Linked DNA regions of Lonchura striata. The protein of the gene in region 1 interacts with the protein of each later gene in a pairwise test. Links are inferred from orthologs where the notes say so. Each region holds a gene or a part of one and is shown in the gene's direction. Other genes may lie near its edges.

Region 1 (7,191 bases):
GTACCTTTTGGTAGCTTTGTGATGACTAGTGTCTCTTGACCCCCTCCTGTTCACCATATAAGCATCTGAAACAAGTCTGCTGATGATGCTGAGTTACTTGAAGCAGCATGAACAAGAGCTGGATGCAAAGAACTTGGACCTCGTGAGGTTGCCTTGTGGGCAATCAAACCACAGATGAAATTCACTGTGTGAATTGAATCAGCACCTACCAGGAAGAAAAATTCCTAGCCTCTCATATAAGATGAAAAGCTCTGAAATTACCACCGCCACTGAGAAGGAAACTGTGGCACTAATTACATATCAGAAAACATCAGTTAAGTGTGTGGCTGCACTCAATCAAATGTTACAGACCATTTGTGAAGGAACACAGAACAGAACTGGAAACATGAAGATGCCACTGCAGAAATCCATAGCAAACCTTACTTAGTCCCTTCACCCCAGAAAGCAGAAACAGAAAAAAATTATAGAGGGACTGTGTACTAGATCAGTCTGACTAGTTTAGCACTGCACAGTTTGGAAAATGGACTACATTATGAGTTAACACAGGAAATCATCGGAGGCACAGATGCTTTGGGAAAAAATATTTTTTCAAGCACAAAAATCCAGGAGCTCACAACGGCAGGGAGCCATAGCCAGGCTCAGAGTAAGAGCTGGTGCCTTGGGCAGCCCCTGACTCGTGGATGCTCTGTGGGTCAAAAGCTGAAGCAGGCTCAAGGTGGAGCTGGGCAAACCCTTGGAGAGCCTGGGAACCACAGCAGGCTACTGACTCAACAAACCTCACTGAGCTGAGGAACCCCCTGAGCACACATTGATCAGAGGAGGGTGGCACAGTCCAAAGGGGAAGTGCTGTGGGTGCTGTCTTGTTCCTGCTCTTCCTTGTTCCTGCTCTTGCTGAGAGAGCTGCCCTGGCTTTGAGCTGGGAGCAAGGCTGTGCTAGATGGGCCCTTTGTCTGCACCCACAGAGCTGCCTTTTACAACCAGTTTCTTTCTGAATGATGGGAACCAGCACTGACATCACCTGAATCAGATGCACTGCAGCAAGGCTGAAGGATGAAGAAGGATGGGTGGCTATTTTTGGCATGTAAGGCACAGCTGCTTGTTGTCTTCTCTCACAAGTCAGGAAGGGCACAGACTGGAGCAAGAGGTCAAAACTCTCTTAGCATGTCCTGTATTTCTTAGTTAATGGACTCAAACTAGAGAAAATCAGTATTATGACAGTTGTTATATAAACCCGGTTTTTTTAGCAGCTTTTCTGAATGTTGTGAAAACTTCCTTGTGTAGTTAACTTACAATTGCATTTCCTGCATCTGAGAAGGAAGAAGCATTCTTGAAGGCTAGGATGGATGGAGGCCGTCTGGAAAACATTGATTTCATGTACATGATTAATATGGTGGATATGATGATCTGTGAGTGAAGCAGGTACCACTTTAGCAAAGTTAATAAAAGCTGTAGTCAGTGGGTACTCATAAGCTTGTATAAAGCTCATAATTAAGAATAACAATAGAAATAAAACTGTCAGTAGAGAAATACCAGGGATAGCAAAAGATGATATATGTGTTAACTAGGGAGGAGAAGATACACTGGAAATGGTGGAGGACTAAACTTACCTAAATTACAAAACAGGAAAGGGGATTTTAGCAGAAATGCCTGTTATTACAATGATATGTAACAAGGAATTCTTTACCACTTCCCATGGGTGGGCAGGCAGGCATTCAGTCATCCCCAGGAAACCAAGGCTACATCATGCATAACAGTGAATTTGGAAGAAAAATGCCATAAATTTGAATGTACTCTCTTCCTCCTCCTTCCCCCAACTGTTATTGTTGGGCATGACATCATGTGGACATATGGTTTGGAATATCCCTTGGGTTGTTGTCAGGGTGTCCCAGCTGTGTCCCTTCCCATCTTCTTGTATACCCCAGCCTGCTCACTGGCAGGGCAGTTCAAGAAGCAGTGTAAGCACTGCTCAGCTAAAACATCCCTGATTCTCGTCATTGCCTCTGTACCAACAAAACCCCATACATATATATATATAAAAGTTGGTACCTCTCAACAAAATGAAAAAGCTCTGTGACATAAATTATCTGGAGCCCTACAAAAACAGTGAAAATACATACATAATATTCACAATATCACACAATATTCTGAGTTGGAAGGGACCTACAAGGGTCATCAAGTCCAGCTTCTGGCCCTGCACAGGACAGTCCCAAGAATCACATCATGTGCCTGAGAGTGTTGTCCAAATGCTTCTTGAACTCTGTCATGCTGATGCTGTGACCACTTCCCTGGGGAGTCTGTTCCGGTGCCCAAAGACCCTCTTGGTGAAGAATTTTTTCCTAATATTCAGCCTAAACCTCCCCTGACACAACTTCAGGCCATTCCCTCATGTCCTGTCACTGTCACCACAGAGAAGAGATCAGTGCCTGTTCCTCCTCTTCCCCTCACAAGGGAGCTGTAGCTGCAGTGAGGTCTCCCTTCAGCCTCCTTTTCTCCAGGCTGAACAAAGTGTCCTCAGCCACTCCTCATATGTCTTCCCCTCAAGGACCTTCATCATCGTTGTTGCTCTCCTCTGGACACTCTCTAAGCATTTTATATCATTGTTTTATTGTAGTGCCCAGCACTCACACAAGACTGCTGGCTCATGTTCAACTTGTCATCAACCAGGACCTCCAGGTCCCTTTCCATGGCATTGCCTTCCAGCACCTAATTCCCCAGTCTGTCCATACATCCAGGGTTGCTCCATCCCAGGTGTGGAGTACAGCACTTTCCCTGGTTGAACTTCATATGGTTGGTGATTGCCCGGCCCTCTGATTTGTCACGGTCTCTCTGCAGGGCTTTCCAGCCTTCAAGGGAGTTGACAGCTCCTCCCAATTTTGGATCATCTGCAAACTTTTTTAGCATCCCTTTAAGTCCTGCTTGCAAGATGTTTATGGCTACTTCAAGCCAATGAATGCAATAATAACTGCACACATGCCTTGCTAAATTCAGTATCTGACATGCAAAGCAGTGCCAGAGTAGGGCTCACAGTCACATGATGGCTCTGAGACCAAGCAATGCCTAGTATGCCTAAACCTGAAAATAAATTCTTTTCCAAGAGTATGTTTGGTATAGAGTATATTTGGTACATATATTTGTTGTTATGCTGGGACCTGTGAGATGGAAGCCATATATTTTTATGTGTAGCATAGGTTGTGTCTTTCACTTGGAGTGAATAACCCAAGGTATGGGTGAGGGGCTGATGGAAAGAAACTCCATCTGAGCTCATGGAGAAGGACCTGAAGGTCCTGGTGGACAACAAGCTGTTCGTGAGACATGCCCACACCCACATGGACAAGAAGACTGATGGAATCCTGGGATGCATTAGGAAGAATATTGCCAGCAGGTCAAGGGAGGGTATCCTGCCCCTCTAATGAGCCCTGGGGAGGCGCATCTGGAGTGTTGTGTCCAGTTCTGGGCTCCTCAGTACAAGAAAAACATGAAGCTCCTGGAGCATATCAGTGGAGGGATACAGAGATGAGTAAGGGACTGGAGCATCTCCCCTATGATGCTCCAGAGAGAGGCTGAGAGAGGCTGAGGGAGCTGAACCTGTTCAGCCTCAAGAGAGATAACAGAGAGGGGACAATTCATCCATGTTTTTAAGTATCTGAAGGGAGGGTGCCAAGAGGACAGAGCCAGGTTCTTCTCGGTGGTGCCGAGTGATAGGACAAGAAGCAATGGGCCGAAACCAAAGCACAGGAAATTCCACTTGAGTATCAGGAAGAACTACTTCACTCTGCGGGCACAGGAACAGATTGTGCGAAGACGTTGTGAAGTCTCCCTCACTGGGATACTCAAGAACCATCTGGACGCAATTCTGTGCCATGTTCTCTACGATGACCCTGCTTGAGCAGGGAGCCTGGACCGCTGTGGTCAGAATCTGACCGATTCTGTGATTCCCCGTTTCCTCTCCCGCCCATCTTTGCCCTGCGGGAACAGAGCCTGCACAGCCTGAGACCGCTGCGCGGGCGGGAGCCTGGAGGACCGGGCTCCCTGGGGCTGTGCGTGCGACCAGCCGCGCCGCACCGCACCGCGCCGCGCCGCCCTCCGGAGCCGGAGCCGGTCCCGCCCGCCGCCCTCTCCTTCCCCGGGGCGGCGGAGCTGCCTCGAGCCCGCCCCCGGCGGGGAGTGGCCGGGCCGGGGCCGCTTTCCGCCGGCTGCGGGCCGGGCGGGATGTGGCGGCCGCAGCCCGGGCCGGGCGGTACCGACAGGCGGCGCCGCGGCGGCGGCGGGGACGCGGCGGGCGCAGGTGAGCGGGGCCGGGCCCCGCGGGAGGCGGGAGGCGGCGGGGTCCGGCCGCCGAGCTCCGCAGGAGCCCCGGACGCGCGGGGCCGTGGGTGCCCCTGCCGGGGCCGGGCCGGCAGCGCTGCTCCCCGCTGCAGGGACCGCGCGGCTCGGCTGGATGCTGCCCCCGGGCTGGGAGCAGCAGCAGCAGCTCTGGGGAGTCGCCCTCGTGTTGGGTATGGGGAAAATGTACTGAAAATGTACTTTTTTTTTTTTTTTTTTAATCCTTCTCGGTAAAAAAACAAAAACAACAACCCGGATCTTTCATTTCACAGTCTGAAAGTTTTAGAATTTCTTTAGTTTTTTTTTTTGTTTTTTTTTTTTTAATCTTTTAAGCCCCTGGTGGTGTTGGCTTTATTTCACAGTTAATGCAGTCTAAGAGAGGGTAAAATAAAGGGTCTTGTGACTTTGAGATAACGTAGCTATCGTTTTTTAACTCAAAAAATAAGATGCTTTGATTTCACTTCAGCCCGCAGTTATAGTGATAGGAAGACATCGATGGTTTATTTGCTATGGTTTATTTGTTTAATTTTTTTAAATAACCAACTACAAAGTGGGAAGTAATGGTGCTCCTCGAAAAGTCACCCACGTTATGTCTACAGTCTTGGCTTAAGGAAGAAAAAGAAAACTTCCTTCTCAGGGGACACTCTGTGTGTATATGCTTTTATAAAGAAATGAAGTTTACAAGACCATCACCTATAAGGTGGATGAACTGCTCTCCTTTTTTCTTAGAGCAGCAGCAATCAGCTGGTCAAAGCTAGGGCTGCCCTCCTTATCAACAGTGGTGCTGGCAAAAGGCTGGAGCCCCTGGGAAATTCTGGAAAAAAAAACACTTCACCTTTCTCAGGACAAGTGGGAAAGAAAGGTGTATTTCTCACTAGGTATGTCTGCTGCCTTTTGGGTTATTTGGGGTACGAGGTTCTCCCAGCTCCACGAGTCCACCAAGACTTTTCTGCAAACACTACAGTCATCCTTGCCATCAGTTTAATACAAAATGGCTCATTCCTGTTTTGGTAATCCACATTAATCTTTGTGTACACGTGCTTGAGTAACTTCTTGCTAAGCTTTTGAATTAATTATGCTAGCATTTTAAAGTTCTGCAGAGAAGGTTTTATAATAAAGGTTTTCATAAAATATGTTGCAGAATGTATAGCAGCAAGTGCTGCTGCCAATTAGAGGTAATGGTGGTTTTCAGAGAAATTAGTGAAGTCCCCTAGGATGCATTATCTTTTGTTTTATCCTTTTGTATTGGTTCATTTACTTGCTAATTTGCTATTGGCCTTAGAGTAGCTCCTAAAAACGGGAGGAGTTCTACTTATTAAAAAATTTCTTGGTGTTTAAATACTAAAGTCCCTTTAATGATGTTGTATGTTTCCCCATCTCATTGCTGAAGGTGAAATTGTTGTGGTTCACTCTGGGAAGGCATTGACAGTTTTCCAGTTGAAGCCCTATTCATAGGGCTTCTAGGCCCTTAGGAAACTGCAAAGTAGGGGTGTTTAACAGAAATATTTGTTTTAAAAGAAAAAAAAATGGCTGAGGTTAGAGATTTGTGATTACTTAAAATATTGGGATCATGGGAAATGAATGTACAAGAACCACCAAATGTTTATGTGCAATGTTTAGTATACTTGAGGTTACGACCATATCTAATATGTCTTTTTTTTCCTTCCCAGTATTTGATACTATCAGAATTATCAATTTTTTTTATAGCTCTCTTTGAGATTGGGCACCAAAAATGGCACATTCTCATGCACAACATTGAAGGTTATAGTGCAGCAGCACTCTAAAAAACAGTCAGAGGCAGGTATTGTATTGCCACTGGCTTCCTCCCTCTTTAAATTAAGATAAATCATCCTTTGTTCTCTTCAGTAAAGTGAAGTCAAAACTTTGGGCCTAAGCTGCTTCTGGTGGAATTGTAGTGGGTTTGTGTAAGAAAAGGGGATTTATTAGCACCAGGATAAATTAATTGTGATGAACAGGTGGACAGAAAGCACTGCAAACAATGTTTTGTACTGACAAAAGCGAAAACCCTAAAGGTTAATTCTGACTTTGTTCACAAATTAGGCACACTTGGTTAGGCTTATTTTGCTCGCCGTAGCTTGGGCCTTTGACAGCTACTGAACCAGCTGACCTTTCAAGCGCGATTTACTCGAGTGTGTGGCACCTCACGAGCGCTCCTCGGGAGTTATGGTTTTTTCTTTTCCCATTTTAACCTTGTCTTTCCTTGAGCGAACCCCTCTTTCTAACTGAGCGGAGACAGGCTGTGACCTTTCCTGCTTTTGGCCATATTGTGTATTAATGATTCCTGCGGAAAGTGGTTTTCTTACCTCCTTTGGAGTATTGGCCCCCAAGGTGAAGGGGAAGGGACCTGCGGAGTTGCCATAGTGATTTCCAAGTTCATCCTTAGTATCTTGTGTCTCTTTCCGGAAAACGGCCCTTTCATGCCGTGTCGCTTAGATTAGGATTGAACCCAGGGTATGTTGTAATACTGTTCAATATTCTTGGAGGAAAACTGCTGCAAAACCCTTATGTATTCGGAATGAATGTGCCCTTTGTAAACCAGCAGTCACACGAGGAAAAACTTGGCCCTCTGGCACTGAACAAAGGCTGCTGTTCCTATTTTAAGCATGGTAGTATCCTTTCTTGAAGGTGTTTCCTTAATTCTGTGTAGTGTTAACTATTTAACACACCATGTAATTTTTTTCTTCTCCTTTACCATACAGGTGTGGATTCCATTAAAAGCTTACCTGCAAAATGCTTTCAGGGAGAAATATCAAGCCTGCAAGCTACTGATGCTGAGAAAGCTAGGATCCACTATGGATATACTTTGTTTGCAAAACATGAGTTTTCTGTATGGAAATTGAATTAGCT
Region 2 (7,719 bases), on another chromosome or scaffold:
GCGGGGCGCGGAGGCGCCGCCGCCGCCATCTTGGCGCCCGCCGGCGCCGCCCCCGCCGCGAGGACCCCAAAGCGGCGGCGGCGCCGCCGCGGAAACGGCGGCGGGGGCGGCCGCCCAAGATGGCGTCGCCGGAGCGCGAGGGCGGGGGAGGGGACGGGGAGGGGTCGCCCGGCCCCTCCCCGGCAGCGGCGGCCATGCCGCGGTCCACCCGCGCCCGCCCCGGCGCCCCCCTGGCCCCGCCGCTGCAGCGGGAGCCGCGGCGGCGCCCCCGGCAAGATGGCGGCCGGGTGGGCGTGGCTTCGGGCGGAGGGGGCGGGGCCAAGCGGAAGGAGCCCCTCCCCCCGCGCCCGGCCAAGCGGCGCAGGACCGGGGGGGGAGGGGCCGGCGGAGGCCCCGCCCACCGGAGGGGGAGGAAAAGGGGGCGGGGTCCCCCCGCGGCCCCGCCCCGCCGGACGCAGCCCCCCCGGCGCTGCGCCGCCCCCCCCGCGCAGGGAGGGGGAGGGGCGGCCCCCCCGGACCCCCCCGGTGGGGCGGGGGCGGGGGGGAGGGGGAGGAAGGGGAGGACGTGAGGGGCGCGGCAAGATGGCGGCAAGGGGGGGAGAGACGGGGGTGGGTGGTGGTGGGGGAGGGGCAAGATGGCCGGCGGTGGGGTGATGTAAAATGGCTGATGGTGGGGGTGAGACAAAATGGCTGACGGTGGGGGTGAGACAAAATGGCTGACAGTGGGGTGAAACAAAATGGCCGACAGTGGGGGTGACACAAAATGGCTGACCGGAAAGGGATACAAAATGGCCGCCAGTGGGGGTGAAACAAAATGGCCAAAAGTGGGGGTGAAACAAGATGGCTGACGGTAAGCATGAGACAAAATGGCCGCCGCTTGGGGTGAGACAAAATGGCTGACAGTGGGAGTGATGCAAAATGGCTGAGAGGGAAAAGATTCAAAATGGCCGCCAGTGTGGGTGACACAAAATGGCTGACGGTGGGAGTGAAACAAATTGGCTGATAGTGGAAGTGAAACAAAATGGCCGACAGTGGGGGTGACACAAAATGGCTGACAGGGAAGGGATACAAAATGGCCGCCGGCCGCCTGGATGTGGTCATGTGATTTGTGGGGGATTTAAATGTGGCTGACATGGCGGCCATGTTGATCAGTCCCAGTGTGGCTGGTGGGGTGACCTTTGATTGACCCCAATATGGCTGACACAGTGATCTTCGCTCCCAATATGGCCGACACTTGACCTTTGGTTGACCTTAATATGGCAGACACTTGACCTCTGATTGACCCCAATATGGCAGACACCTGACCTCTGATTGACCCCAATATGGCTGACACTTGACCTTTAAATTATCCCAATATGGCCGACATGATGACCTCTGACTGACCCGAATATGGCTGACGTGGTGACCTCTGACCCCAACATGGCTGACAGTGACCTTTGTTTGACCCCAATATGGCTGACACTTGACCTTTGGTTGACCCTAATATGGCTGCCATGCAAGGGGGCGTGGTCTCAAAATGGCCGCCGGGGTGACCTCTCAGTGACCCCAAGATGGCCGCCACCGTCGATCCAAGATGGCAGCCCGCGCGCGTCCGTGATGTCACTGCTGGAGGCCATCTTGGCTTGGGTGACGTCATTGCTGGCAGCCATTTTGAACCTGGCGGCCATCTTGTTTTCTGGCAGCCATCTTGAACACCAACCCCTAAAGGTGGTGGCCATCTTGCCTCCTGGCGGCCATCTTGACCTCACTTTGACCCAACCTCCCGGCAGCCATCTTGACTCTGGCCATCACGTGACCCGGCGGCCATCTTGATTGTGAGATGCAAAAATCTTGGCAGCCATTTTGTCTCCCGGTGGCCATCTTGGCTCCCACCATCTTCATCAATGCCTGGCCACCATTTTGATTCCTGGTGGCCATCTTGACTGGGAAGATGCAGGAACTTGGCGGCCATCTTGACTCTGTCACATGATCCGGCGGCCATCTTGACTGCTCGTCGATCTCGACTCCCAGCAGCCATTTTGACTTCCACCAACTTTTGTGAGTTCTGGCGGCCATCTTGGTTCCTGGTGGCCATCTTCACTGTAAACTCGGCGGCCATGTTAAATCCTGGCGGCCATCTTGGCCATGAGAAGATCGAAGACTTGGCAGCCATTTTGAATCCTGGCGGCCATCTTATCTCTGACCAACGTGTGACCTGGCGGCCATCTTGGCCATGAACTGACAGCGAAAACTGGCGGCCATCTTGGCCTCCCCAGCATCTGTAACTGCCGGCAGCCATATTGAATCCTGGTGGCCATCTTGAATGCGAAACAACCACAAAACCTGGCGGCCATCTTAACTCCCATGACTCCTGGCAGCCATTTTGAATCCTGGCGGCCATCTTAACTCATGTGATGCCCAGAAGGCATCTTGAATCCTGGTGGCCATCTTGACTGCGAGACGACCACAAAACACGGCGGCCATCTTGCCTCCTGTGACGCCCGGCAGCCATCTTGAATCCTGGCAGCCATCTTGACTTATGTGATGCCCAGCAGCCATTTTGAATCCTGGCAGCCATCTTGACTGCGACACAATTACACAACCTGGCGGCCATCTTAACTCCCATGACTCCCAGCAGCCATTTTGATTCCTGGCGGCCATCTTGACTACGACACAACCACAAAACCCAGCTGCCATCTTGAATCCTGGTGGCCGTCTTGCCTCCCGTGACTCCCGGCAGCCATTTTGAATCCTGGTGGCCATCTTGACTATGAGAAGACCACAAAACCCGGCGGCCATCTTGATTCCTGGTGGCCATCTTGCCTCCCGTGACTCCCGGCAGCCGTTTTGAATCCCGGCGGCCATCTTGCATCCCGGCGGCCATCTTGCTTCAGGACCGTGCCCAGCAGAGTTGGGGGTGCGGGGTGGGGGAGGGGCGTTTCCCCTCCCCCCCGGATATGTAAATTTGGTTCCTTTCGAACCCGATCTATGCAAATGTGCTGGGCCGGGGGGCGGGGCCGGGATTTTTGGGGGGGGAGCGGCGGTCGAGGCTCTTCCTGCCGTGAATAAAAAAAGGTTCAAAATTCCCAAGTTTTGGGGTCCCCCCCGGGTCAGTTTTTTGGGGTGGGGGAATTTTGGGGGTCCCTGAGGAGTTTTGGGGTCCCTGAAGAAATTTTGGGGGTCCCAGAGAGATTTTGGGGTTTTTTTAGGAATTCGGGGAATTTTGGGGGTCCCAGAGGAGTTTTGGGGGTCCCTGACAGATTTTGGGGAACTTTTAGGAATTTGGGGGTCCCAGAGAGATTTTGGCGATCTTTTAGGAATTTGGGGGGTGCCAGAGAGATTTTGGGGTTTTTTTAGGAATTTGGGGAATTTTGGGGGTCCCTGAGGAATTTTGGGGGTCCCAGAGGAGTTTTGGGGGTCCCTGACAGATTTTGGGGAACTTTTAGGAATTTGGGGAATTTTGGGGTCCCAGAGAGATTTTGGCGATCTTTTAAGAATTTGGGGGGTCCCAGAGAGATTTTGGGAGTCCCCAGGGGATCCCAGAGAGATTTTGGGGATGTTTTAAAAATTTGGGGGATTTTGGGGGTCCAGGAACAGATTTTGGGGTTCTTTTAAAGTTGGACAGAATTTCTGGTATTTTTGGGGGGTCCCTGAGGAGTTTCAGGGGTCCCAGACAGATTTTGGGGGTCCCAGACAGATTTTGGGGCTCTTTTAGGAATTTTGGATATTTTGGGGGTTCCAGAGGATTTTTTGGAGTCCCTGAAGAAATTCTGGGGGGTCCCCAGGGGATCTCAAAAATATTTTGGGGATCTTTTAGGAATTTGGGGAATTTTGGGGGTTCCAGAGGATTTTTGGGGGTCCCTGAAGAGATTTTGGGGGTCCCCAGGGGATCCCAGAGAGATTGTGGGGATCTTTTAGGAATTGGGGGAATTTTGTGGGATTTGGGTGGAATTTGGGGGGAGTTGAGGAAAATTTTTGGGGATTTTTGAGATTTAGGGAGATTTCGGGGGTCTCAAAGGGATTTTGGGGAGATTTTGGGGGGTCCTGATGGAATTTTGGGGTTTTCGGATGGATTTTGGGGGGCTGGTGAAATTTGGGCATCCTCGGGGGAATTTTTGGGGGTCCCCGGAGAGAAAATTTGGGAAATTTGGGGGCAATTGAGGAATTTTGGGCGGTTTTGGGATCTTTGGGGGAATTTTGGGGTCCCAGAGGATTTTGGGGTCCCTAAGAGGATTTTGGGAGGTTATTTTTGCCTTGGACAGATTTTGGAGGTTCCCAGAGGAGTTTTTGGGGTCATTTTTTGGGATTTTCGGATTTTTGGGGGGGGTCCCCGAAGGAATTTTGGGGTTTATTTTGGGGATTTGAGGATTTTTGGGTGCTCTCAGAGGTCCTGGAATGTCTCCAAGCGGTCTTGAAGGGCTCTGAGTGTCCCCAAAAGCCCCGGGGGTCCCCAAAATTTTCGAGTATCCCAAAAAATCTCAAAAAACTCCAAAAAATCCCCGAAAAACCCCCAAAAATCCCTTCGGTGGGCCCCACCGGCGCCATCGCCGCTTTAAGAGTTCCCCCGTTACCCCTTTAAGAGCCGCGGGCCGCTCCTTTTCCCGCCCTTTCGCCGTTACCGCGGCAACGGGGGCGTGGCTTAGGCGGCTCGACCAATCAGAACGCGTAGAGGCGGGGGTGGGGCGTGGCCAGCGCGGCTCAGCCAATCAGCGCGGGCGGTGGGCGTGGCCTGGGCGGCTGCGCGGCGCTGACTCCGGTGAGATCCGAGGGGGGGGGCGGGACGGGCGCGGAAAAAAACCCAAAAAAACCCCAAAAAAACCCAAAAAAGCCCCAAAATCGTCGGAATTCGACCCAAAATCGCCGCGGATTCCGTGGGGAGCAGCCCAGGACCCCCCGGGGCTCTCCCGGGCCGCTCCCGGCCCGCCCTGAGGCCGCCGCCGCCATTTTGGGGCTCCGGCGGCGCCGCGCTCCCAAAGGGCCGAAAATGCCCCAAATTCACCCGAAATTCACCCAAAATTCACCCGAAATTCACCCAAAATCCCCAAAATTCACCCGAAATTCACCCGAAATTCAGCCGAAATGCCCCAAATTCACCCGAAATGCCCCAAATTCACCCGAAATTCACCCAAAATTCACCCAAAATGCCCCAAATTCACCCGAAATGCCCCAAATTCACCCGAAATTCACCCAAAATGCCCAAAATTCACCCAAAATCCCCATAATTCACCCGAAATTCACCAGAAATGCCCAAAATTCACTCGAAATTCACCCAAAATGCCCCAAATTCACCCGAAATTCACCCAAAATTCACCCGAAATTCACCCGAAATGCCCAAAATTCACCCGAAATTCACCCGAAATTCACCCCAAATGCCCCAAATTCACCCGAAATTCACCCAAAATGCCCCAAATTCACCCAAAATCCCCATAATTCACCCGAAATTCACCCAAAATGTCCAAATTCTAACCAAAACTCTCAAATTTCACTCAAAATTCAACCGAAATGCCCAAAATTCACCCGAAATGCCCAAAATTCACCCGAAATTCACCCCAAATGCCTCAAATTCACCCAAAATTCCCCAAATTCACCCGAAATTCACCCGAAATGCCCCAAATTCACCCAAAATATACCCAAAATGTCCAAATTCTTCCCAAAATTCACCATAAATGCCCAAAATTCACCCGAAATTCACCCAAAATGCCCAAAATTCACCCGAAATTCACCCCAAATGTCCAAATTCTAACCAAAATTCTCAAATTTCACTCAAAATTCACCCAAAATGCCCAAAATTCACCCGAAATTTACCCAAAATGCCCAAAATTTACCCAAAATGCCCAAAATTCACCACAAATGCCCCCAATTCACCCAAAATATACCCAAAATGTCCAAATTCTTCCCAAAATTCACCATAAATGCCCAAAATTCACCCGAAATTCACCATAAATGCCCAAAATTCACCCAAAATTAACCCGAAATTCACCCAAAATGCCCTAAATTCACCCGAAATATACCCAAAATGTCCAAATTCTACCCAAAATTCACCGGAAATTCACTCAAAATTCACACAAAATGCTCAAATTTCACCCAAAATTCACCGAAAATGTCCCAAAATTCAAAAATTCAGCCAAAATGCGCCAAATTCCACCCAAAATCCACCCAAAACCCCCAAAATTCACCGAAAATGTCCCAAATTTCACCCAAAATGCACAAAATTCACCCAAAATTCACCCAAAATGCCCAAAATTTACCCAAAATGCCCAAAATTCACACAAAATCCCCAAAATTCACCCAAAATGCTCAAATTTCACCCAAAATTCACCCGAAATGCTTAAAATTCACCCAAAATGTCCCAAAATTCATCTAAAACCCACCCAAAATGCTCAAGTTTCACCTAAAATTCACTCAAAATGCTAAAATTCACCCAAAATCCCAAAAAATCCCCCCAAATTCCCCGAATCCCCCTAAAATCCCAAAATCAACTTAAATCTCCCCAAAATCCCGCTAAATCCCCCCAAAATTCCCCCAAATCCCTCAAAAATTCTCCAAATAATTTCAAACCCCCCCAAATTCCCCCAAAATTCCCCAAATCCCCCCAAAATCACCTTAAATACCCCAAAGTACCCCTAAATTCTCCCAAAAATCCCTTAATCTCCCCCAAAATCCCCCAAACTCCCCCAAAATCCCATCCAACCCCCCAAAATCTCCACAAAATCCCACCAAATCCCCCAAAAATTCCCCCCAAACCCCAAAATTCCCCCAAAATTCTCCAAAACACTTTAAACCCCCCCAAAATTCCCCAAATCGCCCCAAAATCACCTTAAACCCCCCCAAAATCACCTTAAACTCCCCAAAATTCTCCCAAAATCCCCTCAAATCCCCCCAAAATCTCCCAAAATCATTTTAACCTCCCCCCAAAATCTCCCCAAATCCCCCCAAAATTCCCCCAAATCCCCCCAAAATCACCTTAAACGCCCCCAAATCCTCCCAAAATCACCTTAAACTCCCCAAAATCACCTTAAACTGCCCCAAATTCTCCCAAAATCACCTGAAATCCCCCCAGACCCCTCACCTGTGCCCTCACCTGTGCCCAGGTGCCCATGGCGGGGGTCGGCGCCAAGCGGGGAGCCCCAAAATCCCCCCAAAATCACCTTAAATCCTCCCAAAATCACCTTAAACTCCCCCAAATTCTCCCAAAATCCCCTCAAATCCCCCCAAAATCTCCCAAAATCACCTTAACCCCCCCCAAAATCCCCTCAAATTCCCCCCAAAATCATTTTAAACCCCCCCAAAATCTCCCCAAATCCCCCCCAAATCCCCTCAAAATCACCTTAAATTCCCCCGAAATCCCGCAAATCTCTTGAAAATCCCCCCAAATTCTCCCAAAATCACCTTAAACCCCCCCAAAATCACCTGAAATCCCCCCAAATTCTCCCCAAAATCACCTTAAACTCCCCCAAAATCCTCCCCAAATCACCTTAAACTCCCCCAAATTCTCCCAAAATCACCTTAAATCCCCCCAAATCTCTCACCTGTGCCCTCACCTGTGCCCAGGTGCCCATGGCGGGGGTCGGCGCCAAGCGGGGACCCCCAAAATCCTCCCAAAATCACCTTAAATCCTCCCAAAATCACCTTAAACTCCCCCAAAATCACCTTAAATCCCCCCAAAATCACCTGAAATCCCCCCCAAATCCCCCCAGATCCCTCACCTGTGGCCTCACCTGTGCCCAGGTGCCCATGGCG
Region 3 (7,391 bases), on another chromosome or scaffold:
ATGTGGGTGCTTGCTACCCTGGAGAAGCCTTCTTCAGCTCAGGCCAGGCACAGAGTGAGTCTGAGCTACATAAACCAGGCACGGGCACAGCAAGCACTCCTGCTGCTTTTGGCAACATACTGGGGGTGGCTTCCAGGCTGGAGTGTCCTTGGTGGCTTTGGTCCACAGTGGCAGTCCTTAAGAGAAGACAAAAGCAATGGCAACAGAAGGGGCATAAAGAAAACCCTGTGCTGGTCCTCAGCATATATTTTGCTCCCTCAAATATTTTGGGGAAGAACCCTGCAGTGCTGTGGGTGAGTTAACCTGGAAGTGAACCATCCCCTGTCTCTTTCCCCGTGGTGTCCCAGGAATTTGCTGTTTGAGTGTACCACTCTGTTTCCTGATAAGAATATGTAGAGGAAGGGTTTTCCAAAGAGCCCTTGTTGATTTTCCATTTACTCCCCAATCACAGAGGTTTGTACTTACACAATGCTTGAGTAAGGGAGTGATGCACTATCTACAGGGGATTTTTCTTTTGTATACAGCTATAGGAAAAATCCTGGCAGCAGGGTTCACTCATGTAGTCCTGCTCTGCTCCAAGGATGCAGTGGAAAAACACTTCTCTCCCTGGAGAGGAACCCTCATCAGCAGGAGGACGAGCAATCAGTAAGTGATAATGAATCAGTTAAAGTGCATTTGAGATCAATAGATGTCGGTTAGGACACATGTAGCCAGTCATTTCTGAGTCTCTTTTATCACAGCTGCATGTTAGCCTAAACCCCAATTATTATGCATTTTATGGAGTATAAATTTTTCAGCATTCTCTGTTTAGTTTGGGCAGAGTCCTTTAAGTACTGTCTTACAAGGGTTAACAGCGGGGCAAACCAGCCTGGACTTAGGACACCAGAAAAACTGGGGCTACATGGTCACAGAATTATTGTGGAATAAATCATATGTTGGTGCCCAAACATGCTTCCCTGTTTGCTTCATTCCTCATCTTGATGATCTTTTGAAGAATGATCCAAAGCCCAAAGCACCTGAAGCTGTTGCTAATTGGGCAAGGGCTTATGTGTCACTTAGATTTATTCATCCTACATACACTCCCTCACAATATAATTAACGGCGATGGCACTGTTAGATAATTAAATTTAGTTTTAGGCAGAGGTCAAATGACCTGGATAGCTTATATGGGGGCTGATGCCCTTCAATGAGTAAATCAAAAATAGTTATTTCAGGGTCCTCCACTGCTGACAGCAGAGCTTTGGGTCATTAAGGTGCTCATTGCTCACCAAGGCCTGTGGGAAATATGGAATTTTCACATGTGCCCACTTTCCAAATGGAAATGAAATCAGAAAAACAATGACCTGTCACAAAATGATCCCAGTATGTGGCAGAAGAAATGGAAATGGAGCTGATAAGGGATGTGGGGACTGAGCTGGGAGGGCTGTGTGCTTCTTCCATGGTTATTGCTTCATGAAGGATGGGGTGTTGTAACTCAGTTCCTTTATTTGGCTTGGTGGTGCCCTGCCCATGCTGCGTCTCACCCACAGCTGTGCCAGCGCTGGCTGGAGCTGGTGTGACACAGCAGGGTCCAGCTGCCATGCCCAGGGGGGACCTGCCAGGTAAAAACTGAATCTTGTGCTGAAATTACTCACGGCAAAATATTTTGAGCCACTTCAGCTGAGTACTTTGTTTTGAGTCACAGTGACTGTAACTGAAAGGTTTCTTTAGACGCTCCTGGCATAAAAAAAACCAACAGTGCACAGAGAGACACAGATAGATTGGTAAATGCATAACTAAAAGAGTAACAAATTGCAAATTTAATTTTTTGATGGAAAAAGCTTCCTGCTCAGTTTAAGCTTTTCCTGCAGCCTGCCTGGGCACCAGTACAGCCCATGTAGCATCCCTGGCATCTCCAGAGGTCACTGGGTGCACATCTCCCCTCCATGGCTCCAATTTTGCCCCAAGCAGCCTGGAAACAGTAGCACTCTCTGGGATTTTCCTGTCACTTCCCTCTATTGCTTTATGCATTTCTTATTTCAGTGATAATAGGAGGGTCCTCTACATTTTTCCCATCTCTATAGGCAGTGGATAGATTGTAATTAAATCACAGCTTAGTTTGGGACTTGGCACTCGTGCTGAGAGATCAGGGCAATCTGTCTATTTGCAGGATTAGACATATCTATCTATATATATGCATATATTAATCCTTATGTTTTTCACAAATAATCCTGTGTGTTCTTGGATGCAAAGCACATTAGAGCAAGCCAGCATCCTCTCTCATCCTGTTTGTTCCTCCCTTCTCTGCCTGAGAACAATGACGGCAGGAGGAAGTCTCGCATTGGTTTGTTACCAGTTTCCAGGCAGTTTTGCTTCCAGCTCCCCAACTACAAGCGCAACATTGCAAATCCTGGGCTGGAACAGACACAGACAACATCTGGTCTAGAAAAACACCACGAAAGATTGGGGAGTTTGTTGAGTTTAGCATTTAGATCAAAATTACCTCTTTATATGTGAGTGAGGGCTATTGACTGTGCACGATATTAAGGAGTGATGATTTGTAGCTTGGGAAAAGGGGTTAAATCCCGGCAGCCTGCCGCCACTGCGGGTGATGTGCAGCCCCGTGCGACTTGGGCAGTTCATCACCAAAAAGAAATCACATTTTGCTGTGCCCTCGCAGCCCGGCAAGCTGAAACGCCGGCGCTGCAATCAGGATTAGTAAGTGATAAGGCAGGGATGCAATCCCCCGGGCAGTGCGGGCTGCCCAGCCAGCCGAGGGCAGCGGCAGCACCAATCCTGATCTTTTCTGCGAGGTTTCAGCAGCTCCTTCTGGCCTTTTTCCCTCCGTGTCCCTCAGTCCTGCCTGGTGAGGCTGCACCTCCCGCACCAGCAGCCTCCCCACAACTGCACGACTCTTTGCAATACCATTTATTATTACTTTTTGGAGCACATCTCCAATCAGAAAGTGTAAGAAAATCCCATCCGCCTGCCAGTTGACTCATGTGTAGGGTTTCCGCTTCCCAGATCTGCATATTGTAAGCTCCTGACACAAGTTGATGTTGTAAGTACAGCTTCCATACGGTTCTCTCAAAGGCAACAGATTTTTTTATACATATATATTTATATACGGCACCTGGTTTGGCAGGAACCACATCCGAAAAGGGGAAATAAGGAAAACTAAAAGCTGACTCTACCTAGCTATTGCTGGCTTGGGAAGCGGTTTGGCCAATTACAAACACAGCATCAATCTCTTATTCCAATTAGGATCAGCCTGGGAGCTGGTAGTGCTGGGATGGCTCTCGAGTGCCGAGGGAACAGCTCGACAACCGGCCAGCAAACCCGGGTGTGACATCCGCATCCATCTGCAAAAGGGCCAGATCCCACTGAGCATCTGAGGAACACCAAGCAGGGGGATGCGTGGCTGCTGCTCTGGCCTCGGCGCTTCCCACCTCCTGCCTGGCAGGATTTGGGCTCAGCACCTGAACCTGGGCAGCTTTTCACCTCCTGCCTGGCAGGATTTGGACTCAGCACCTGAACCTGGGAAGCTTTTCCACCTCCTGCCTGGCAGGATTTGGGCTCAGCACCTGAAACTGGGCAGCTTTTCCATGTTCTGCCTGGCAGGATTTGGGCTCAGCACCTGAACCTGGGCAGCTTTTCACCTCCTGCCTGGCAGGATTTGGGCTCAGCACCTGAACCTGGGCAGCTTTTCCACCTCCTGCCTGGCAGGATTTGGGCTCAGCACCTGAACCTGGGCAGCTTTTCCATGTTCTGCCTGGCAGAATTTGGGCTCAGCACCTGAACCTGGGCAGCTTTTCCACGTCCTGCCTGGCAGGATTTGGGCTCAGCACCTGAACCTGGGCAGGTTGTGGGCAGCTTTTCACCTCCTGCCTGGCAGGATTTGGGCTCAGCACCTGAACCTGGGCAGCTTTTCCACGTCCTGCCTGGCAGGATTTGGGCTCAGCACCTGAACCTGGGCAGCTTTTCCCGGCGCACCTGACAGGCACCGCTGCGGGCTCCTTGTGAGGGGAACCCAGGCGGCCCGGGCGCTGCGCCTGTCAGTGTCGGGGGGGATCTGCGAGCTGCACGAGCCCGTTTGTGCGCCGCTGGGCGCGCACCCCGGAGGGTCCGGACGCCCTGAGGGTCCCTCCGGGTCCCTCCGCGGGTGCCACCACCGCCACCACCCCGGCCGCGTCCCCTCGCCCTCCGCCGCCACCGCCGCGGTCCCGGCGCGGCGCCCGCCCGGCCCTGAGGGGGCTCTGCCCGCCCCCGCGCGGCGCCGCCCCCTGGCGGCGGGTCGGGCGCCGCCCCCGCGGTGACAGACAGGGGCGGCGCGGGGCCGTGCGGGCGCGGTGCGGGGCGGGCGCGGTGCGGGGCGGGCGCGGCGATGCGCCGCCGCCGCCGCCATCCCGGCGCAGCAGCCCGCGGCGAGCCCTGCCTGCCTGGCCGCCGCTAGGCAGCCGCGCTGCGGGCGGAAGGACAGGGGCGGCGGCGGCGGCTTCTCCTTCCCGGCGCCCCGCATGAGGAGAGGCGTTAAATAGCGCCAGCGCCGCGGCGGCCGCCACTGCCCGGTCGGTGGCGGCGGGGCCGCCTGGCCGGCGGCGGAAATATGGCGAGCGACTCTCCGGCGCGGAGCCTGGACGAGATAGACCTCTCGGCGCTGCGGGTGAGGCGCAGGGCCGGGGATCGCGGGGAGGCATGCGGGAGCGGCACCCCTCCCACCCACCCATCCATCTATGCATCCATCCATCCATCCATCCATCCATCCATCCATCCACCCACCCACCCACCTATGCATGCATGCATCCATCCATCCACCTATGCATGCATCCATCCATCCATCCCGCGATGGCGGGGAGATGGGGCTGGGGGTCTGCGGTGCTTGGTGTGTGTGTGTGTGTGTGATGTGCGCCTGCACGTATGTAAATGCGGGTAAGACAACCCGTGTGCGCGTGCATGTGCGTGCCCGCCGCCGCGTGTGCGCGCATCCACACGTGTGTGCATCCGCACATGTGTGCGCGGATCTGCGGGTGTGCGCATCCGCACATGTGTGTGTGTGTGTGTGTGTGTGTGTGTGTGCCCGCCGTGCCCCCGCAGGTGTGTGCGTGTCCGCGGGTCCCACCCGGACACCGCCGCGCTGCGATCCCCCCGTGGGCAGGCGGACACGCGGGGATCGCGGGGCCGGGCTGCGGAGCTGCTCCCCAGAGCCCCGCTTTCCCCGCCCCGGCCCCGCAGCCTCTCTCCATCCCTCTCCCGCGGTGTCCCTGCGCGCTGCCTCCTCCTCACCCCCCTGGAAAATGAAGCCCAGCATGTACCCTTGAAATGTCAGGCTCGTCAGACGTGTCAGCCGCGGCGTGGGCTGTGGCCTGATGTCCCCCCTGGTCCATTTCTCGTGTAACTTTCTTCCTTTTCCCCATCTTCCTGGCCGTAAGAACAGCTCGTTGGGAACGAGCATGGGGAGTCATTGAGAGAAACAGCATTTTTGCGGGAGGCAGCAGCCCGGCTGCTCCTCGTAACCCGCTGCATAGACAAATAAATCAAGCAAAATCCGCTGAAGACTTGAACAAGTGTATTTTTAGCAATGTTATTTGCTTCAGTGCAAGAAAAAAAAAAAAAAGAGAAGTCTATCTTTATTCACTTGCCCTACTTTCTTTCTGGTGAGTTTCTGGTTGATTAATAGTGTAAATGATTGCTCAGCAATACACGGTGTAGATGAGATTGGAATGGGGGAACCATCTGCCTTAAAAACAGACCTGGAGCTGGTTTCCCCTCTTAGGTGGAAGCTGGGAGAGAGGGAGAAAGGTTGCTGAAGCCAGTGGAGTTAATTCAGGAGACCAGTATAATTTAGGGAGCAGAGGGCCCTCTCCTTCTTCCCCACCCTCTGTTTTTTTTTTTTTTTTAATTTTTTTATTTAACATCTGTGCTGGGAATTGTATTTGAACTAGGTTATGATTTCTCTTTAAAGCCGTATCCAGACGTGCTTAAGTTGTTTTGTTTTTTTTTTTTTTGTTTTTTTTTTTTTTTGTTTTTTTTTTTTTTTTGGTTTGTTGTTTTTTTTTTTTTCCCTGTTTGTGGCTTTTTAATAGCAATGTGCACCAGCTACAGTCAGGGTTTTGTTTTCGCTTTAGGAGGAAATGTATATTCCCTTCCTCCCTCCCCCCCGAGACCCAGCGGCAGCTCCTGGTCGGTGAGCAGAGCAGCGCTGGCATTTCAGGGTAACCGGAGACAAGGGGACCCAAAACCCCGACTGACCCCGGGCTGGGACAGCAAACCCTGCTCTCCTGCCCAGCAGTGACTGTTCTGCCAGCACGGGGCTGCTGCCAAATCAGCCCTCTGCCCCCTCCCAGGGGGACAGACCTGCTGTGGCACTTTCCTGTAAATGATGAGAGATGTGGTGGTTTGCAGACGAGACAAGAATAGGAGCTTAATTTGCCAGGGAATAGATCTTCTTCTAAACTAAGCTCCTCCAGCACTTAGAATAATTGTTAAAGGTCGTAAATTCAGCAGATAGGGCACGAAGCGTGAATCATTCCATGGGGTCTGAATCAGAAATCGATAGTAAATTTGCTGCCTGAGCACAAAACATGGCAGGGAGGAGTAATTCCCCAAGCCTTGCAAAATTTTTATGTATCAGAAAAGAAATGTCACTTTGCAGTGGGTTTGTAGATGAGTCTGGGTGTAGGAGATGTTGCTTTTGTGCTGCTTGTGTGTTTAAAGGGGTGAGAGGTGACTCTGTGAAATGCTGGGAGCAGGTAGTGACTCAAAAATCTGGCGATTTGTTCCCAGCAGCAGGGAAAGGAAGCGCTCAGGACACTTATCTCTGAGTTTGAGTCACTGAAATGTTCCAGGAGGCTGAGGCTTACGAGCCACAGGCAAATCTGTGTCAGAAAGGTCAAACTCTGCCTGCCAGTCTGGCCAGTCCTTTGCTTTGGCTTCCCTCCTGCTGTCCCAGGGAAGGGAGGTGTATTTGCAGGATGGCAGCGTGCTGTTGTGAAGGCTGAGCACAAGCAGAACCCTGCACACCATCATTCAGTTCAGTTTGCCACTGCCCAAGGGCTTATGAGGTGGGATTTATAGATCTGGGCTGGAAGGTGACATAGGAGGTGGCAGGAGCTCCCGTTTTTGCCACACTGCAGAGTTTATTTTGGCCACACAGTCGGGCTCCACCGCAGCAGTGCATCTGCTTGATGTGCTGGAGGCTGGGCCAGGAACAAAGCACTGAGTTCTGATTAAAATGCACGGCCTGGTGCATCGAGTAAGTGCACTTGGGGCTGGCTCCTGCCTTCTCTGTGACACGTTTCTATCCATCACTGGGCACCGTGCTCATTGCCGTGGTACCCAGCAGTGCCCCTGTGGGTGCAGAGGACTGAGTGTGCCAGGATAGGAAGGATTCTTAAACCAGAAATTTTCCAGTG
Region 4 (7,121 bases), on another chromosome or scaffold:
TGGAGTTCTGCAGCACCCATGGAGCACAGGCTACACTTCTCCAATGTTAGGAGCAAGCTTGAGTGGAGAAGGGATGCTGAGGTACAGCAAGGCTTGTGCTAGAGTCCATCAACTGCTAATTGCAGCTGAACTGCAGCTGTGCAGCACATCTGGAGCGATGCAACCAATCCCAAATGCTTGCATGAATCTTTGCAGCAGTTTTCTACACAAATCATGTACTAATGAACAAATTATCCTGGTTAGCTACAGCAGTCTATGATGACTTGATCTGCATGTTCAGCTGCAGCATTAGTATGAGAACTATGTGCGGCTTTTGCAGGCAAAAGTGCATGCTCCAATTAGATTTAAAGGTTGATGCTTTATTATCTCTGCACTACTTTACCATCCCTTTAACTGGAATGTGCATGTTGCTGGCCTTCATTATAACCCTGAAAAACATGTTGAAGGTATAAGAAATAATTCACTATAACTATTGAATAAATGTTTTTAAGTAAGGATATTTAACCTTGAACAACATAATTCCCACAGATTTTAAAATTCTGGGAGCAGAACACATCTTCTCATTTGACAATAAATACTTGCAATTAAAACTATGTTAAAAACTTTACCAAATTTATTATAGGCAACACTTGCTTTCACAGTCTCCCAGAAAAAGGATATTTTTAACATCCCACTCTCTGTATGGGGACAGAGAAGGTGAATGTGAGGCCAAGCAGACACCAATTACAACCTCACAAAAACATGGAGGAACCAGCAGATAACCCAGGACTAGCACAGGAGTCAGGCCCACGGCTGCCAGGGAATGCTGCACCTCCAGGGTGAGCAGTCAGGCATGGATAAGGGCCTGGCAGGGAACACCAGTGGAAACAGAACTGATAAGTGGTTGAAATGCTGCTTCTACCTGGACTTTCATCCTTTGGCTCTAGGAAAAGAACTAACATGTGAATTTAAAGAAGGAACCATGTGACAGCAGTATCATCAGAATAGTATTGGTCTATCAAAGACTATTGAATTGAGATACAGAAACACAACATCATCAAAAGTAGCATAAACTCTTTATAAGCTCTATGTGATCAGCATCCAGGTGAGACACAAAATGGACTGAAAACAGGCATTGCTACTTTTAGCAGGAAAACAGGAACACTTGCTCAAAATTTAATTTTAATTTCCCTCATACTAAATTAGAAAAGGGATTCACTTCAGTGAAACATTTTACTGCAACAAGGGAAGACTTTGCACAGGGCCAAGGTTCCCCACAGAGGAACCTCAGAGGTAGGATTAGTTTATCTTCTTTTTAATGCTATTGAGAATGTCATATAGAGTGGGGGACACAGCTCTCTTCCTTATGTTTATAATGCAGAGGAAAACCCACATGAGTACTGGGAGTGAGATTTCTAAAACTTTTGCATCTAAAGGAACAAAAAAGTGGAAAATTGCAGTTCTAGAGTCTTGTTTGAGCCACAGAGAAGTCACTATTCACTAGTGAACAAAAAGAAGAAAAAATGCTCATTTCTTGTGATTTATCCCAGTGACAGGGTTAATGACACAGGTAGACATGCCCATTGACTCACTAAATTGAATTGCAAGACATAGCTACAAGTTAATTTCCTTTGGTATGTGCTTAGGCACCTTGTAATGACAGTATTTGTGTCACTGGAATTCAGTCTCGACCTAAAGCTGCACTGATCTTTCAGTTCAAATCTGTGGAGGCATTTTCATGCAACTCTTTCTCTTCGAGAGCTCTGTGACTGTAACAGCTCACATCTTTTGTAGGTCAGGCACCGCAACGGACGTGAAACGTGTACATGAGTTGGCTGCAGTGGTACAGTCACTGCAGGTGCTTTGCTACACAAATATATACATGCGTAGAATATTAATGACAACTTTCATTCAGAGGCAACATATGAATTATCAATGAATCCAGTTTCCATGTTTAGCAGGAAGTGTGTGGCAAGGGCTGATGGAACGTTTGGAATCATAATCTCAGCTGTAGTAGCTATTGCTGTGCGTGCCACCCCAGATGGCAAAAACTCCCCTGAAGAAGCCTGGCTCACACTGCAGCAGAGCTATGCAAGCTGCAAACATTACCTTCAGGAATATTCTGAGGGAAAAACTGAAGTGGAGATCAGAAGGAGCTGTGCAAGGAGCTGTGCCTGTCCCCACTGAGGCGCAGGGTCCGTGTTTGTTATTATTAAGGTACATGGCGGCAATCAAGGAAATTACCAAAAAAATGGGCTCTGAGACTCCTCACCGTTCAGCTATGCTGGCAGCTGGAACTTCTTTTCTACTCTAGTATCAAGCAACGATATTACAAGGAAGACCAACTGCAAAAGGAGAATAAAATACCAGTGTCCTAACAGTCTTTGGAAAATTCAGTAATCCCTGCAAACCAGATTTAATTTTTTGGGTAGATGCTAATTATCACTTGAATATGCATCTCAAAATACTTGAAATATTAGAATTTTGAGGTTGCCAAAACAATTTTGTCTGCTTTGCAAGTAGATGGAAGTAAAGCCAAGGTAATTTGGGCAACCATTTGAAATCCCTCCCCTAAATTTCAGTCCCATTTCTTATGTTGTCTATGAAATAACCCTGACAAGTGCCTGTGTGATGTTGGGGGTTTGCACAGCCCTGTCTGTCTACTGCTATATAAAACAAACAAGAGCAAGAGAGGGGCCAAGGCCCAGCACAAGCAAGGCTGACACCAGCACCCTCAGGTGCTCTGCGTACAAACACAGAGATCCATGAGGTAACTGTTACACAGGTAATCTCCACTGCTACTCACAGGAGTAACAAGACCATACAGCATTTGATTATGAAGTTTGCAGTGTCACTTCAAGTTTCTTTCAGTTTTTGCTATCTAGGTAATTTTCCACATGGAACTACCTCTTCCCTTGAATGAGCATTTCAGAGAGCTGTGTGGGCCCACTCTCACCGCATTGCTGCCATGCTGCCAGTGCTGGAGGTGGCTCTGGTCGCTGTCCCTGGCCTGCAGGGCTCTGGCATTGTGGGCCAGCAGCAGGTTCCCTGCCTGGGCCTCTGCCAGCGCAGCTGCAGCACTCACCACGCCGGGCTGTGCAGAGTTCCTGGGCAAGCACTGCTGCCCCTGACACCGGCCACTGTGGAGCACGGGGACTGCAAAACAACTACAAATAAACTCCTAGTGCGATACAACGCCTGACAGTGGGCCACTGCGGAGCACGGGGACTCTGAACTGCAAAGGGATGGGAGAACTGCTGCACAGAGCTGCCTGGCTGTGCTGGCCACACAGGAGCTGGGACAGGCAGTGCCAAGACTCTGCTGTGTCACCTCTTGTGAGCGTACGGGTTAAAGCAGCAGTGGTCTGTGCCTCAGTTTACCACGAGGAACTACCATTTTGACATACTAAATAAAGGACATTTTGAGATTTCACTAAGCGGGGTTTGTGGATAATGAGAACATTCAGTTCCCAGTGTTTCTCCACTGACCCTGTGAAGGGGCACTGGGAGCAGCACATGGAGCCCCCAGGGCTCCCGTCACACGGAGGTGATGGACACGAAAGGTCCGAACGTTTCTCTCAACTCTGGCAAATCCAGACCTGCGGGACAAGGTCACTCACTAGAACAGAACTGTCCTGGGAAGGCATTCCCGGGAAGGGACACTAGGAAAGCACTACAGTGCCCGGTGCCGCGGGAGGCCGGGGGCGATGCGCTGTACCCGCGGTGCCTCTTCTTCCCGGTGCTCGGGACAGCCAGCGAGCCCGGTGCCACTGCTGCTGCCCCGGCGTGCCTGACCCTTCGTAGCCTGTGCCCGGTGCTCTCGGTGTGTCCCGGAAAACCCCCGCTATTCCCGGTTCTCCTGGAAAACCCCCTTTATCCCCGCTATTCCCGGTTCTCCCGCTGTCCCGGAAAACCCCCGCTATTCCCGGTTCTCCCGGAAAACCCCCTTTATCCCCGCTATTCCCGGCTCCCCCGGTGTCCCCGGGCCGCCCCCTCAGCCGGGCGGCCGCGCAGTGCACGTCGGGAGGGGCGCGCGCGGCACGCCGGGACACGCACCCGGCGCCTCGGCCGCCCAAGATGGCGGCGAGCGGCCGTCCCCGCCCCCGGCCGCGCATGCGCAGCGCCGCGGCGGCCGCGCCGCTCCCGCCCTCCCTCCCGGCGGCCGCGGCGCCTCTGACAGCGCGGAGCGAGCGGAGCGTCCCCGAGCGCCGGGACCGCGCACCGGAGCCCCCGCACCGGGACCGCCACTCCGCACCGGCACCCTGACCCCGCACCGGGACGCCGCGCCGGTGAGTGGGACAGGCGGGTGGCGCCGGAGCCGCGCAGGTCAGCGAGGCGGCGGCGCCGGCGGGGCTCGGTGAGGCCGGGGCCCGCCGCTCCCCCCGGCCCGCGGGGTGTCCCGGCCCGCGGCACGAGCGGCCGCCGCTTTCCTCTCCGCTCCCCCCTCCTCTCCGCTCCCCGCCCTCGCCCGCTCCCCCCTCTCCTCGCTCTCAAAATGGCGGCCGCGCCCGTTGGTGAGGAGGGACCGGGCGGGGCGGGGGGCGGCGGGGGGGCCGACCCGGTGTCCTCCCCCGGCTCGGTGCGGGGGCTCTGCGGGCCGGGGCGCGGCTCCTGCGCTCCCCGCGGGCCCCGCTCCCGCCGTGACTCTGCAGGAAAGCAGGGCCCGGTGGGAGCGGTGGGGCGGGTGCAGAGCCGCCGCCGGGCCCGTGTCCCCCCCCCGCGGGCCGCGCCGCTCCGTCCGTGACTTAGCAAATACCGGGAGAAGGCGATGGGCCGGGGTAAAGAGCGATAAAATCGCCTTCAGGGACGATGGGCCTGCTGTGTGCGCGGAGGGCACCCCGAGCATCCCTCCCCGGTTCCTGCCGGGGGTTCCCCCTGTCACCCTCCCCGGGCAGGGCCGGCCGTCGGGCGATGGCCCAAACGGCCAGCGCGGCCGAGGCACCGAAAACAAGGCGAGAATTAATAATCCACCGAGAGGAGTAGGTGTTGTTTCAGAATTTGTCTCGCATCCCCAGTTTTCCTGCAGTGCTCAGCAGGGCAGCAGCGATAGGAGGTGGCTCAGACCTTCAGAACCAGCTGCAGTAAAACGGGGGAGGGAGGTCTAATCTCTCCTTCTGAGGGTCATATCACTGCCTGGATGCCTGCAGGTGCACAGGCTTCCCGTGATAAACCTTAAAATATTGCTTTAATCCTGTATTAATTACTGCTCGCGAGGTTTTGTTTCAGCAGGAGGTTATAGGCAGGCAGGGCTTTTGATGGAAGTTGGGGGGTGGGAGTGGTGCCTCCTTTGAAAAGTTTGGGGTTTGTTCAGTTCTGTGGGCGTGAGTTTTTTTTTTTTTAATTTTATTTTTTTGTTTAAGGTGGATGCAATTAAACTTGACCTTTAATACCAATAATAATGTGACACCTTCCCTTTCTTTGCCATGATATCACTCAAACCATTTCAATAGTGCTGCAGCAGTGGGCTTGGTTGGTGTAGGTCAAGTCCTTTCATAATGAATTGCCTACTAGGAATGCGGGAAGGTTAATCTAAGCTATATTAAAAATCTTTAATAAACACCGTTTTAATATAATTAAATGTTTGGGCATATTGACCTGCCTAAATTATGTATTTTTGTGGTGATTCTCTGAAGTATATGTTCCTATGACAGTATTGTTCATGGCATTAGGAGGTGTTGGTTAAAGAACCTCCGTTCAGTGATGATCATTTTGTAAATGATTGTGCAGCATTTGCTGGTTTTCGGGAGAGGGAGGGTCTGCTGTCAGATTGTTATTTGCCCTTAGAGTAATTTTGTTAAATAGGAAAATTATGTTGGGGAACTAAACAAAGAAAATATTTTAAAACTGTGAGATGCATTGCAAATATCCGGCTTGTTCTCGGGCATCTCGTTTTTGTGTGTTTCTGTTGCTGTTCCCATGTTTGTGGATGCTGTGAGCAGCCATTGAACAGGGAAGAGACTGGGTGGAGTAAGGAGGCAAAGCTGCGAAATGGCTCGATTACCCTTTCAGAGCTTTTTTTTCCTCCCTTTGCCGAGGAATACTAATTGCCGTAACAATGAAGTCTCTTCTTTAGGGAAGAATCTAATGGTGCAGGAAGCTTCGGAAATGAAACAAATCTCACATTCTGTTCTGAGACCGATTTTTCTGCAGGGTGGATTTTGATTTGTCTGGCAGTGAGAAGTGACCAGTCACTGTTGCAAAGCCGGATTTTTTTTGTCTGATAACCGCTTCAATTTATCCACTCAGATATGCACTTGTTGAATTGATTTTATTTACATTTTAGATAAGAATTGCAATTTTTCTGCCAGTGTTGTACACACAAGATTTTCTGGAATCTAGAGAAGCCTCTGTATTGTGGCTTCATGCTGTTATTTGTTCATGGAACTTCTTGGTTAGAGCGGATTATGGGTGGGCACACAGAAAAAGACAATCCCTGGTTTCTCTGGTGACCACAGTAGAGTGACTGCTGTCAGTGTACAGACTGGATTGCATTGCCCTTCGTCATGTGCCAAGCTCTTGTAAAATTACGTCTCAGGATTTTGGAAGTCCTTTTGAGCACTGTAGCTCTGTAAGAGCATTGCTGTCCCCCTTGGGCACTACTGCTTAAAGTTGTGTAGGAAAAGCATTTGAACAAAGGATTTGGGGAATACAGTAGGGATTGGAGGAAGCATCTAGGAAGGGCTGCCTATGGAAGTGCTCTCCTATTCCACATGTGCCTCGTGGCATTCCCATCTGATTTTAGTGCTGATTGGAGCAAGGTCTGAAGCAGGCTTTACTTTTTCATGGGGGTCTCAGTTCTGGAGTGCAGTTTGTGAGAGGAGATGGGCCCACAAGAAAGAGACTGTGCTTCTCTTAGTATGCCCAAAATTAAATTAAGGGGCAGTGGTTTCTGCATTATTTCTAGTTCATTCACTTGGAGTAGATGTTCCAGGATTCAGTGGCTGCATGAGCCAAATACCTGAGTCTAATGTGTATCCAGGCTAAGGCCAATGAAGAACCCAGCAAAACTCTTTCTATCTTAACAGCTTTATTTGATTTTTGTCCTTGAAATGATGGCAGTCACTTTTTCTACAGGAGTAACTTGTTCATTTGGGTTCTACAGAAGCAAAAGGCATCAACAGTTCCTTTCTGGCTGCACACAGG

Evidence for each region.
Region 2: the proteins of DISC1 (region 1) and E3 ubiquitin-protein ligase BRE1B interact in binary tests that used the Homo sapiens proteins (3 or more experiments, as listed by UniProt). The link is inferred for Lonchura striata from reciprocal best matches to the Homo sapiens genes DISC1 and RNF40.
Region 3: the proteins of DISC1 (region 1) and TNIK interact in binary tests that used the Homo sapiens proteins (3 or more experiments, as listed by UniProt). The link is inferred for Lonchura striata from reciprocal best matches to the Homo sapiens genes DISC1 and TNIK.
Region 4: the proteins of DISC1 (region 1) and PAFAH1B1 interact in a two-hybrid assay, tested with the Homo sapiens proteins (2 studies listed by BioGRID and IntAct). The link is inferred for Lonchura striata from reciprocal best matches to the Homo sapiens genes DISC1 and PAFAH1B1.

What each region holds. Positions count from the first base shown.
Region 1 is NC_134605.1:43,738,609-43,745,799, forward strand, and holds the start of DISC1 (disrupted in schizophrenia 1 protein), read left to right. Parts: upstream 1-4,182; 5' UTR 4,183-4,209; coding exon 4,210-4,285; intron 4,286-5,118; exon of another isoform or gene 5,119-5,201; intron 5,202-7,191. UniProt on the Homo sapiens protein: Involved in the regulation of multiple aspects of embryonic and adult neurogenesis. Required for neural progenitor proliferation in the ventrical/subventrical zone during embryonic brain development and in the adult dentate gyrus of the hippocampus.
Region 2 is NC_134637.1:902,157-909,875, reverse strand, and holds the start of E3 ubiquitin-protein ligase BRE1B, read left to right. Parts: upstream 1-4,701; 5' UTR 4,702-4,735; intron 4,736-7,719. Other genes in the region: helicase SRCAP, read left to right, coding at 63-287, 780-848.
Region 3 is NC_134612.1:22,736,360-22,743,750, forward strand, and holds the start of TNIK (TRAF2 and NCK-interacting protein kinase), read left to right. Parts: upstream 1-4,380; 5' UTR 4,381-4,585; coding exon 4,586-4,642; intron 4,643-7,391. UniProt on the Homo sapiens protein: Serine/threonine kinase that acts as an essential activator of the Wnt signaling pathway. Recruited to promoters of Wnt target genes and required to activate their expression. May act by phosphorylating TCF4/TCF7L2.
Region 4 is NC_134622.1:11,367,652-11,374,772, forward strand, and holds the start of PAFAH1B1 (platelet-activating factor acetylhydrolase IB subunit beta), read left to right. Parts: upstream 1-4,116; 5' UTR 4,117-4,267; intron 4,268-4,452; exon of another isoform or gene 4,453-4,492; intron 4,493-7,121. UniProt on the Homo sapiens protein: Regulatory subunit (beta subunit) of the cytosolic type I platelet-activating factor (PAF) acetylhydrolase (PAF-AH (I)), an enzyme that catalyzes the hydrolyze of the acetyl group at the sn-2 position of PAF and its analogs and participates in PAF inactivation.